Linked DNA regions of Oryctolagus cuniculus. The protein of the gene in region 1 purifies or fractionates together with the protein of each later gene. This does not show direct contact. Links are inferred from orthologs where the notes say so. Each region holds a gene or a part of one and is shown in the gene's direction. Other genes may lie near its edges.

Region 1 (5,593 bases):
ACCCAAATATAAGACAATGAATACATGTTTGTCTTGTTGATCAGAAAATGTTTTCCAAGATCACTAGGCATATTTGAAATGCTCAGTATTGACATGTGTATAGTGGCTACCATATTGGACAGCACAGATAAAGACAATTTCCTTCATTCTAGGAAGTTTGATGGGATAGGGTTAATGTTTGAATACCATTAACCCAGTAACAATATTTATTATATTCCTCAAATGAATTGGCTGTTTTCTAGTCCCTGAGGGAGCGAAGTTAGAATTGTTGTGGCAATAAGTGATCAGATCATATCCAATACAGTACTGAGATATCCTGGACTGCAGTCGGTATATAATTACCTTTCAAAGGAATCTTCATAAAATTTTTTGCTCTTTTCAGATTCACCTGGCATTCCACCTAGTGCTAATGCACACCAGCTCTTTCGGGGGTTTAGTTTTGTTGCTATTACCTCAGACGATGAAAGCCAAGCAATGCAGACAGTTGGTGTACATTCAATTGTTCAGGTGAGTGCGTGTCTAATAATTTTAAATTTTAAATGTTATGAGGTACAGTTCATTGTATAAATATATTTCATGAGCTGGACAGCTTAAAATACACTTTGTATCAATATTACTCTTTTTTAAAAAAATATTTATTTATTTATTTGAAAGTCAGAGTTACAAAGAGGAAGAGAGAGAAAGGTCTTCCATCCTTTGGTTCACTCTCCAGATGGCCGCAATGGCCAGAGCTGCACTAATCCAAAGCCAGGAGCTTCTTCCGGGTCTCCCATGCAGGGGCAGGGGCCGAAGGACTTGGGCCATTTTGCACTCCTCTTCTAGGCCATTGCAGAGAGCTAGATCGGAAGTGGAGCAGCCAGGACTCAAACCGGCACACCCATGTGGGATGTTGGGACTGCAGGCGGCAGTTTTATCCACTATGCCACAGCTCCGGCCCCTAATATTACTCTTAGAAATTCCTTTCATATGTCATTGATAAGGTTACATGAACCAAAATCCTGGATATCTATGTGACTTGAAAGTGTAATTTTACAAAAATAGAGATAAACATCACTGCCTTGCCTCTCTGCCTCCTGTGCCTCAGTGTTTGTCAGGCCTGGTTTATTTTATCCTCTGACTCTGTTAGTCCAGCTGTGATGGATTAAGGTCTCCTGGCTCCTTTATGCCTTATAATAGTCTTGCATCTTCATTCCTTTGGAACCCCCACTGTCATTAGGAAGAAGTGGCTGAGTACCTCATGTTTCGTTTTCCTATTGTTTATCAGAATTGGCAAAAAAAAAAAAAATAGGTAATAGGCCATAGGGGCAGATTGTAGGTATATGGATGGGAATGGGCAGTGGGGAAAGGGTAAGTGCATAACAAGAGACTGGAGTGGTACATAATGCTATAGGAGCACAAGTACTACAGTCTACTAGATTGATTTTTCCCATTCCAATACTATAGAAATATAAATTTAATTCATCTTTCTAATCAGAGAGGGAATGGCATCAATTTTTTGAAGTATTGAATTGTTTTTAAGATATCATTAGTGTTTTCATGATTAAGTTGCTTTTGCTCTTATCTTTTTTTGTGTATGTGAGACATTCATTTTGCTATCCAAGAAAACCAACTTCAGTGTTAAGCAAAACTCATGTTGAAGTATGAGTAGTCTGTCCCTTTAACCAAGTAAGCACATGAATATATGGAAAGTTTTTAAATTACAATTTCTATACCTAAAATAGAAACCACAAACCTATTCTCCAGAATTCAAGTTTTAACCTGTACAAAGCTCATAGGTCTGGAGAGTCTCATGTCAGCAAAGTTAAGGGCAGCATGACTTTCTTCTCAGCCTCTTATGGAACCAATAATTTTACTGTTTGTCCCTAACCCATGAATAGCTTCTTCAACAGAAGTTGCATAAAGCTGTGATCTGAGGGTAAGAAAAGAGGGAATCTGACTACAGAAAGTCCAGAATGATGTTACACCATTTGTATTTAATCCTCAATAGGTTACACAGTCTGTAAGTGATACGTCTGAAACAATAGTGAAAATATTCTAATTCTGAATCCTCCTAAATCTTTTTCTTCTATACCAGAGACATTAGACTTCTCATTTGCAAAGGTGCTTCAGAAGTCAAATTGGGCAAAATTACAGAGAAAGCTATGGACCCCTTATCAAGTAACTCTGCTTTTTCTGGTGTACATATTCAATTTCTTCTTTATTTTTTTTAAAGACTTATTTACTATTTGAAAGAGAAAGGGAAATCTTCAGTCCACTGGTTCACTCCTCAGATGGCTGTTATGGCTAGGGCTGGGCCAGGCTGAAGCCAGGAGCCAGGAACTTCATGCGAATCTCCCTCGTTGGTGGCAGGGGCCCAAAGAGGTGGGCCATCTTCTGCTGCTTTTACCAGATCATTATCAGGGAGCTGGATTGAGAGTGGATCAGCTTTACCCACTATGCCTCAATGCTAGCCGCAGTTTCTTCTTCTTTTAAAGATTTATTTATTTATTCGAAAGTCAGAGTTAGAGAGGGGGGGGGAGGGAGAGGTGTCTTCCATCTGCTGGTTCACTCCCCAATTGGCTGCAGTGGCCAGAGCTGTGCCAATCCGAAGCCAGGAGCTTCTTCTGGGTCTCCAACATGGGTGCAGGGGCCCAAGGACTTGGGCCATCTTCTCCTGCTTTCCCAAGCCATAGAAGAGAGCCAGATTGGAAGTGGAGCAGCTGGGTCTTGAACCATCACCCACATGGGATGCCAGCGCTTCAGGCCAGAGCATTAACCCGTGGCGTCACAGTGCCAGCCCCGCCAGTTTCTTCTTTTTAATATAAGCGTTCTGGGGGCTGGCATTGTGACATAGTGGATAAAGCTGCCAGCTGTAGCTACCATCCCATATGGGCAGTTGTTCGAGACTTGGCTACCCCACTTCGAATTGCAGCTCCCTGCTAATGCACCTGGGAAAGCAGAGGAATGTGGCCCAAGTGCTTGGGCCCCTGCACCAAAGTGGGAGACCCGGAAGAACTCTGGGCTCCTGGCTTTGGCCTGGCCCAGCCCTGGCCCTTTCATCCATTTGGGGAGTGACCCAGCAGATGGAAGATTGATCTCCCTCCCACCCCTCTCTGTAACTCTGCCTTTCAAATAAAACTAAATCTTAAAAAAAAAATAAGTGGTTTTAAATGTATATTTTTTGCTGAATATTTTATTGTAGAAACTTACTAAAAAGTGCCCTTGTAAAGAATTAGTGCTATAATTTATTTTTACTGATACTCATTTCTATTTTAACTTAATATCAGCAATGCATACTCAGTAACATATTCCTCTATTTTCAAGTATGCTAAAAAGAAAGAGTACGGAACTCTTCATCAATTTATCATTTCATTTGCAGCAATTGCACAGGAACAGTATCCAGTTTACTGATGGATATGAAGTAAAAGAAGATATTGGAGTTGGATCATACTCTGTTTGCAAGAGATGTATACATAAAGCCACAAACATGGAGTTTGCAGTGAAGGTAAATGTTTTTACATTTAAAATACAACTCTCACAGTTCTTACTCATGCATGTAAGTACCAGTTGAGAACTACACTCTTTTTTGTTATTGTTGTTAAACCTTTTGTTATAAAAAGTCAATGTAAATTTAAATATCTGACTAGGGATCTTCAGAGATCTAGAAGCGTGGATTCCCCTTCTAGCCTAAAAATGAAGTAGCCATATACCCAGTATGCCTCACATAATTTCTTTTTTTTGTAAAGATTTATTTATTTATTTGAAAAGCAGAGTTACAGAGAGGCAGAGAGAGAGAGGCAGAGAGAGAAAGTCAGAGAGAGGCAGAGAGAGAGAGAGGCAGAGAGAGAGAGAGAGAGAGGCAGAGAGAGAGAGAGAGAGAGGCAGAGAGAGAGGCAGAGAGAGAGGCAGAGAGAGAGAGAGAGAGGCAGAGAGAAAGAGAAAGAGAAAGATCTTCCATCTGCTGGTTCACTCCCTAAATGACCACAACAGTCAGGGCTGCGTCGATCCAAAGCCAGGAGCCTGGAGCTTCCTCCAGGTCTCCCACGCAGGTGCAGGGGCCCAAGCACTTGAGCTATCCTCCACTGCCTTCCTAGGCTGTTGGAGAGAGTACGATCAGAAGAGGAGCAGCCTGAATTTGAACTGGAGCCCATATAGGATGCCAGCACTGCAGGTGGAAGCTTTACCCACTATACCACAGCGCCAACCCCAAAATTTCTTTTTATTTGACCAGTCAGAGAGACAGAGACAGTGTTCTCTGCTGCTGGTTTACTCCCCAAATGCTGACCATTGCTGGAGATGAGCCAGGGCAAAGGCAAGAGCCAGGAACTCAATCTAGGCCTCCCAAATGGGGGCCAGAGACCCAACCACTGGAACCATCATGTATTGCCTCCCACAGTGTGCATCAGAAAGAAGCCAAAATTGGGAGCAGTGCCAGGACTTGAACTCAGGCACTTATCCCCTGACATGATATTCTTTTTCACATGATTTTTAATAATACCCCTTTTATACTTGAAAGTTCCCGTTTTCTGGTCAGGGTGTCAGAAAATTTCTAAAACTGTATAACAAATTGGTGTATGTTTATATTTTTTGACAAAAAGCTCATACCTTCATATCTAAAAGGCTCTGTGAACCAATACAAGAATTAAAACCACTGTCATAAAATTTATCACTATTAGCTGTTTCAATTTCATCAGGTATCTCATCAGAATGTCTGTTTTGAGATACCTGGTGAAATTAAAAGAGCCAAAAACCAAGACACCTAGCTCTGTGAAAAAGTTTGAATTTAGACCATTAGCTATAAGTGAACAAATAGTATATTCAAGTCTCTGCCTTTTGAATTCTTAAGGTAGTAACCTCTGCTTTCCCATCTCAAGCAATTCAAATCTTCTCTGTAGATTTCAACTTATCTGGAACCTTAAGGCTAGTTCATAAATATGGGTAGCTCATGTTTAGTTAGTGAGAGAGTGACATTCATTGTTATTACTCTAAAATTGGATGTAATTACTTTAGAAAGTCTTCATTGTCCATAAGGCTTTCTGCCACATATAATGATGAATCATAGAAATACATTTAAGTTTCTGTGCTCTTATTCTTTTCTCCAGATTACATAGAAATTTCCAAATTGCTTACATGAAAGGAGAGAAGAAGAATAACATACTTGGTGGGCGAGTTTTATTATGTGCTTTTTCCATAAACACGTTGAAAAAGCAGCAACGTCTTAGGCTCCCTTTGGATTACAGAAACCAGAAGCAGTATTCCCAAAGCCTTCAGAATACCTCCAAGCTATTTGTAGATTCTTGTGATTTAAATTAGATTCATAAAACCAATCCCAACACAACTGGATTCTATTGAAATTATTATAAATGTGGACCCCACAAGCATAAGTCATGAAGATAATGTATTCTGAGCCTCAGATTAGCAGATCAGAAAATGTTGCCAAAAATAGCACCTCCCTGAGTGTTCTTGTTTTCAAAAGCTTAGTCCCAGATCATCTCTCTTGAATTAGCTTATTCCATATGCAACTCATAATCATCCATTTGCCAAATTCCACACTGTCATTTGCAGTTGATTACAGTGGACACCTGTGTTTGTCTTCCTTGTTCTCCAAATACAG
Region 2 (6,138 bases), on another chromosome or scaffold:
GGGCTTTCTTCCTCCTCGTTGATGTATCGTTCGCAAGGGCTTCGGGGGAGAAAAGGGTGACTACTCAAGACATTTTGAACGAGGGGGACAATGGGAAGAAAGGGGCCTCGTAGGGGGTGCAGGGACTGTGAAAGTGGCCTTGTCTGGTGGGGCTTTCAGCGAGACCTGGTGCGGGTGCTCCTGGTGCAGTTCCAACTGTCACCTTTAGTTCTCGCTGGCTTTGCTGCCCTGGTCCCAGCACTGCGCAGACTGGGGCTTATTTACCTATTCACACTCTGCTGGGGAAGCGCATTAATGGGCTGATTAGCGACACCATTCACGAGGTCATTGACAAAAGCAGTTCCAGCGGCTTGAAGTGGGAAGACAGGGAGAGAGAGAGCGAGAGCGAGAGCGAGCTACCAAGAGATTATTCGCTCATTCAGAGCCTCGCTGGTGTGACAGCTTTCCTGGACCGGACCGTCTGAGGTCACTCGCAGCCTCAGTATGATGACAGAGTTGATTTTTTTCGAAAAAATTCCAAACATGCTTTTTCTTTTCCCAAAACGGCGGAGTTTGCTGGTGCAGGCTCTGGGCTTCTCTGGCCCAGAAATGAGTGCTCCTAATGGGAGTGAGGCGCTTCTGACGCACTGGTCTTTGCACCTCCATAAAGAGTCAATTCTGCAGGCTGCGTCTGGACACGAGCGTACACGTCTTGTGTCACTCTCTGTGCCAGGCTTCGTTTGCATTCAGAGTGCCGGGCCCTACCGACGGCTGGCCGGTGGGGACAGCGGCTTCCTGCATGGGTAATTTATGTGAGAATGCGCCAGTGGCCTTTCCTGGGCACGGGCTTCGTCCTGAGCCACTTGTTTCCCATCGGTGGGGAACATAAAGACGTCAGCGCCAGCCTCCGCTCAGACAGACGCTGGGCCACGGTCCCTGGTCTCTCCCAGGATCTCTGGCTTGAGCGGCCCCTGTAAGGGCAGAGGCTGGGTGTCACCTGGCTGAGACACCTGCTAATGACAAAGCCGGGCTGGGACAGGCCAGCTCAGCCAGAGGACTTTGCCAACAGCACGCCCCATCGAACAAGCATCTACACAGATCCTTTGACTTGCCCAGCTCTTGTTTTTGCTGTCAGCCTCCCCAAATACAATTTCACAGCTGTGGCCTGAGGCAGGTAGATGGATTTGTCACTCCCAGATTTGAAGCCATCTGCATAGAAGTTTCCAAGGCTGCAGCTGAATGAAACCGATTGTCTCATCACCTGGCCAACAAACACATCTTCCCGCTGGCTGTGGGGTGCACCCGGGGTGTGTGTGTGGGGGTCGGCTGTTCCCTGCCCCGTCCACCTTCCCCCCCAAGAGGCTTTTCAGGGACTTCTGGGTTAGGTGACATTTTTCTAAGAACAAATAATTAAGGGTTTTATCTGTAGGGTCTTGAGATGGCTCAGGAGCTGTCTGGGAAAGTAGATTTAAAAACAAATTATCCCCAGACACGGCCTAGCGGAAAGGGCACACAGAAAACCCGGACTTTAATCAGTGACAGCTTGGTGCCGCCAAAGCATCTGAGATTCAGAGGCAGGTTAGGGTCTGCTTAGGGTCAGGCTGTTCCTGGCAGCCTTGAGAGTTTCGCATTTCTGTTTATTAACCCAATATGCTCGTGGGTGACGAAACAGCCCGCTGCTGTTGCTACTGCTGCTTGGGGCCTTTTCTCAAAAGAGCCAGATTCCAGGGCAGGCTCTGCGGGGTCCTCCGGGTGACCCCGGCCCAACGGGGTGACCTCTCCGACCCGCTCACGCCTCTCCCGAAGTGGGGCGCGGGGCTCCGCGGGAGCTTCCCGGCCAGGGCTCTGCCCTCTGTGCGCAAGGCCAGAGAAACGGTGCAGAGGCGCTCCGCCGCCTCGCACGGTGCGGGCGAGGCTTCCGTGCCTCGGAGGGGCAGCACCTCGTGTCGCTGGCTTTCCATCCCGCCCGGAGCCAGCGTGAGGCCGGCCGCGGGCCAGCTCGCCCGGGCGCGCCGCGGGAGCAGGCCTTATTCGGGGGCCTCGGCGGCACCGCTCCGCGGCCACCGGGGCCGGGCGTCGCGGGCGCCTCGCAGGCGTCGGGAGCCGCGCGCGGCGCGGGGCGGCCCGGGCGCGCGGCGCTGATTGGCAGAGCGGGCGCCGCCGTCCAGGAAGCGGCTCGGGTTTCAGCGGGGGCGTGACCCGCAGCGAGGAGGCGGCGGCGGCGGCGGCGGCGGGGCCGCGGAGAGCGCCGCGGAGAGCCGAGCGGGCGGGCGCGGAGCGGAGCGGACCGGCGGGCGAGCGGCGAGCGGCGAGCGCGCGCGGCCGCCACAAAGCTCGGGCGCCCGGGGGCTGCCTGCGGCGTGCGAGGCCCGGCGCGGCCACCGCTCTCCGGGCTGGCGGGCGGCCCGCGCGCACCGGGGGGCCCCGAGGCCGCAGCTCGCGCGCGCTCTCCGGGCGCCTGCAACTTGCGAGCGAAGTTTGGCGGAGCGGACGCCGAGCCCTTTCTTCACCGCGCTTCCCCGGACCCGAGGGGCAGCGGGCGGGCGTGATGCCCGCGCGCCTCCGCAGCCTGCGGTGCGCGTGAAGCCGCGGAGCCTCCGCGCCGGCCGGGCCCACCGCCCTCCTCCGCCCCGGGACTCCTCTTGCTCGGCTTTGGAGGCTCTCCCGGGCGCGTCTCCGGCCGCATCCCGAGCCGCGCCGTGCGCGGGGACTGCCCGGATCGCGGAGCAGCGTTGCCATTCAAGGTAATCGGCGCGCTGGGCGCTTCGGGGAAGTGAGAGCGCGGGCAGGGGGCACTCCGCGTCCTGCGCCCCGGGCCGCGTCGGTGCTGGGGAGGTGGGTGCGAGCCGAGGGCTGGCACCCGAGGACCACCCACGCCAGGTGCTGACGCTGCCTCTGGCGCTGACAACCCCTTCGCTGTCAAAGTCGGGCGGGCGCCACCCCCGCAGGCCGGGGCTCCGGAGGCGCATCTTCGGGGTGCCCGTCCCATCCAGGTCCTGGAGGGAAGCCTTCCCCGGGAGGAAGCCTCTGGAGGCGGCGGCGGCGGCGGCGGTGGGGGGCTGGCGACCTCCCGGAGGGGTGGCGCCTGCGGGGGCCGTCTTTCGGGTTCCCAGGTTTCGGTGCGGGGCGCCCTTGCGCGAGCTCGGCGCTCCTGGGGCTAGGGGGCGACCTGGACCGACGTTTCCCCCTCGGCCCGCCCGCTCCGCCGCCGCCGATGTCGACAGCGCGGCGAGTCCCGACCTGCGCGCCCATTCCTGCAGCACCGGGCGGCGCCGGGGACGCGGCCGAGGGCGCCGGGCCTCGCGAACTGGTCCCGGGACGGTGCCTCCTCGCTCCCCACCTGGGGGGACCTCCCCCTCGGGGTACCCCTTGCACTGCGGGCGTGAAGCGCTGTCCACGCTTAAAACCCCATTGTCCCCCGCGTCCCAAATCCCCGTAAATCTTCCCCCGGCCTCGAACTCATTTTCATCTGAAAAGCCTGTTTAGTTTGAATAGAAAAGCAATCAGGCGCCCCTCTCCCGCTCCCTGGAATGTCAATTAAAATGCAGATTTCCCCAAGCTCTTTAGCGCCCCGAGAAGGGGCGAGAAAAACTGGAGATTCCAGGCCGTGCCGGGGAAGCTGCGCGACCGTGGAGCGGGTTGGCGGCGGGGAGCGCCCGGGCCGCGGCTTTGGGGGCGTGCGCCCGGGGCTGCGGGCGCTGATGCGGAGTCGGCGCGGGTCTGGGGCCGCGTTTGCTGGGATTTCCACGTGTTGCGGACTTGCTCCCCTAGGCTGGACTCCCCGGCGGATCGCCTGTCCTCCTCGGCTCTGGGGTGAAGTTGGGAGGCCTGGAGCAAGGGGGCTGGGGGTGGAGGCGCCCCTGCCCTGGCGCTGTTGACTTTCCCGCGCGAAGTCCGCCCAGGAGCGGAGGGGCAGGTGGCCCCTCTATCGGCCTCTCGGGGCGCGTGGGCTTGGGGTTTGGGGCTGTTAGCTGTGGCTCCCGGAGCAGGGCCAGGCGCCCGCGGGGCTCTTTGCGCTAGTCCCAGCTCGCGTCTTGGGGGGGCAGACTTGTGCCGGGGTTGGGGGGGCGGCGGCGGTGGACGAGAGCCATCCATCAGAGGGAGGGTGACAGCTCCAGCGGCGCGCGGGCTGAGCAGAGAGTTCCCTTTCAAGGGGAAAAATAAACAGGCTTTCGCTGAGGCTCAGACCCCGGGAAGGAGTATGGCTGTGCAGGCCGGAAGCCGGGCTTGTGGCCGCCAGCGGCATGCTGGGCCTGTGTTCCCAACACCGAGCCCCGGGACCTCATTATCCTGCCCGGGGGGTCGCCTGGGCCTGGTGTCCACTCCAGTACCTGCCGCCCCGGGGGCCTGGGCCTCGCAAAGAGCTGGGGCGGAGGACCGCCGCGGGGCCTGAACCTGGAGACTGACGGAAATTCAGGTTTTCCCTGGGGTCTGCCGCGGGCACTGGCCACTGTCCTCCTTTCTTGGCTGTGCAGGTGGGTGGAGCGGCCGGGGGAGCAGCCTGGGGTCAGTCCTTGCGCTGCGGGATGTGAGATTGCTCCTGAAGCGTTAGAGGCGGAAAATTCCCCTGCATTCTGTAGATGCACAGGAATGCTCTGTGCTCCCCTCCCACATGGCTGTAGGGATACACACAGCCTGTCTGAAGGCTCTTGACTTGAAGGGGAAGAGAAGTTAGGGAAGTCCCTGGAGCTGCACAGGCGCACACGGACACGTGCACAACGCGCTCTCCTCCTGCCTTTGCTGTGGATGGCAGCCTGTCACCTGTGCTTTCCTTATCCCTGCTCTGGGAACCTCTTCACTTGCACCCACTTGAACCCCAGGACTGGAAGGAACAATTTTTATGGTAGACCTTTAGGGAGGTGCCAGCGGTGTGGAAATCTCCTCAGCATAATTTGAAACATCAAGTTGGCACGCAGCAAGCCCGGGTTAGAGATTTTTGTATTAAAGTTCTCGCTCCTGCCTGCCCCCCCCCCCCAGCCTTAGGAAGTGTGGTTCATGGGGTCTGAAGCCTGAACTTGGGGTATCATTTTGTGGGACTGTTTGAATCAAATTCTCTGTCACTGACGACATGAATGAGTTTAAAGTTATTAGGAATATTTTAAACTTCCTGGGAAAAGTCCCTGCCTGGTATCCGTTGGGTGAACAGAATAGATAGATTGAGACTCCTGTGTGCCACATCCCGGTACCTGGGCTGGGTACCAGCCTCAGGCTTCGGACTCCGGCTTCCTGCTAGGGCAGACCCCGGGAGGCAGTGGTGATGGCTCAAGTAACTGGGTTCCCGCCATCCACGTGGGAGACCTGGATTCCATTCCTGGCTCCTGGCTTCCGCAGGCTTTGTGGATATCTGGGGGAGTGAAGCAGCCAGTGGGAGCTCCTTCCCTGTCTTTCTCTGTGTCTTTCTCTTGTCTCTGTGTCAAAGACAAATTTAAAATAAATAGAAATAAATAGGTTATTGGCCGAGCCAGCATGTCAGCGTAATTCACACATCATCATCATCATTAATAAACTCTTGCATTATTCATCCGAGTCTGCGCTTCTCCACCCCTCTGCTGAGGTTGGAGACGTTTAGCCGTCCGCTGCCGTTTGGTCGGTGCAGGGGACTTCTGGTCTTGCCCCCCCTTTTTGGATAGCCGCTTCGACTGTGTTCCGATTCTGTTCCGTCTTCTGGCGAGGGATTGAAATCCACTTCTGCGTTTGAAAATGAGTCCTGACAAGTGGAACCTGGTGGGGATTTCTCTGTAAGCTTCCTGGGATCCCTGTCTTCCGGAGCACCACAGAGGGAGTGGAACAAACCCCTGGGCTGCGAGCAGACGCCGGCGGTGGTTGGTCAGCTTCCGGAACGGCGGGAAGCGCTTAACGAGGCTGAGCGCCGGGGGACTGCTTTTGGGGTGCCCCTGGCACTGAGGTCGCGCCGTCCCTGCTTTGAGGGTGGCAGAGGCGACGGTGGATGGTGGAAGAGAACGTACTCTGCCTGACTGAAGTGGCCGCGCCTGGCTGAGTCCTGTGGCTCCTTTTACTGTATTTCTCCAAAGGATGCCTTTGCAAAGCTTGGCCTCGCGTAGTTTGTGGAGCGGGCCTGTGGAAGCACTTGGTTTTTTTGTTTGTTTGTTTGTTTGTTTTGTTTTGTATTTTTGGCAGATCATGAGAAAGAGCTCCGTT

The links.
Region 2: the proteins of RPS6KA3 (region 1) and FGFR2 purify together in Homo sapiens (affinity purification with mass spectrometry; 3 studies listed by BioGRID and IntAct, counting the BioPlex papers as one, with this or other methods). This does not show direct contact. The link is inferred for Oryctolagus cuniculus from reciprocal best matches to the Homo sapiens genes RPS6KA3 and FGFR2.

The regions. Positions count from the first base shown.
Region 1 is NC_091453.1:6,229,772-6,235,364, reverse strand, and holds part of RPS6KA3 (ribosomal protein S6 kinase alpha-3), read left to right. Parts: intron 1-382; coding exon 383-507; intron 508-3,358; coding exon 3,359-3,484; intron 3,485-5,593. UniProt on the Homo sapiens protein: Serine/threonine-protein kinase that acts downstream of ERK (MAPK1/ERK2 and MAPK3/ERK1) signaling and mediates mitogenic and stress-induced activation of the transcription factors CREB1, ETV1/ER81 and NR4A1/NUR77, regulates translation through RPS6 and EIF4B phosphorylation, and mediates cellular proliferation, survival, and differentiation by modulating mTOR signaling and repressing pro-apoptotic function of BAD and DAPK1.
Region 2 is NC_091446.1:9,299,284-9,305,421, forward strand, and holds the start of FGFR2 (fibroblast growth factor receptor 2), read left to right. Parts: upstream 1-2,238; 5' UTR 2,239-2,723; intron 2,724-4,173; exon of another isoform or gene 4,174-4,454; intron 4,455-6,138. UniProt on the Homo sapiens protein: Tyrosine-protein kinase that acts as a cell-surface receptor for fibroblast growth factors and plays an essential role in the regulation of cell proliferation, differentiation, migration and apoptosis, and in the regulation of embryonic development.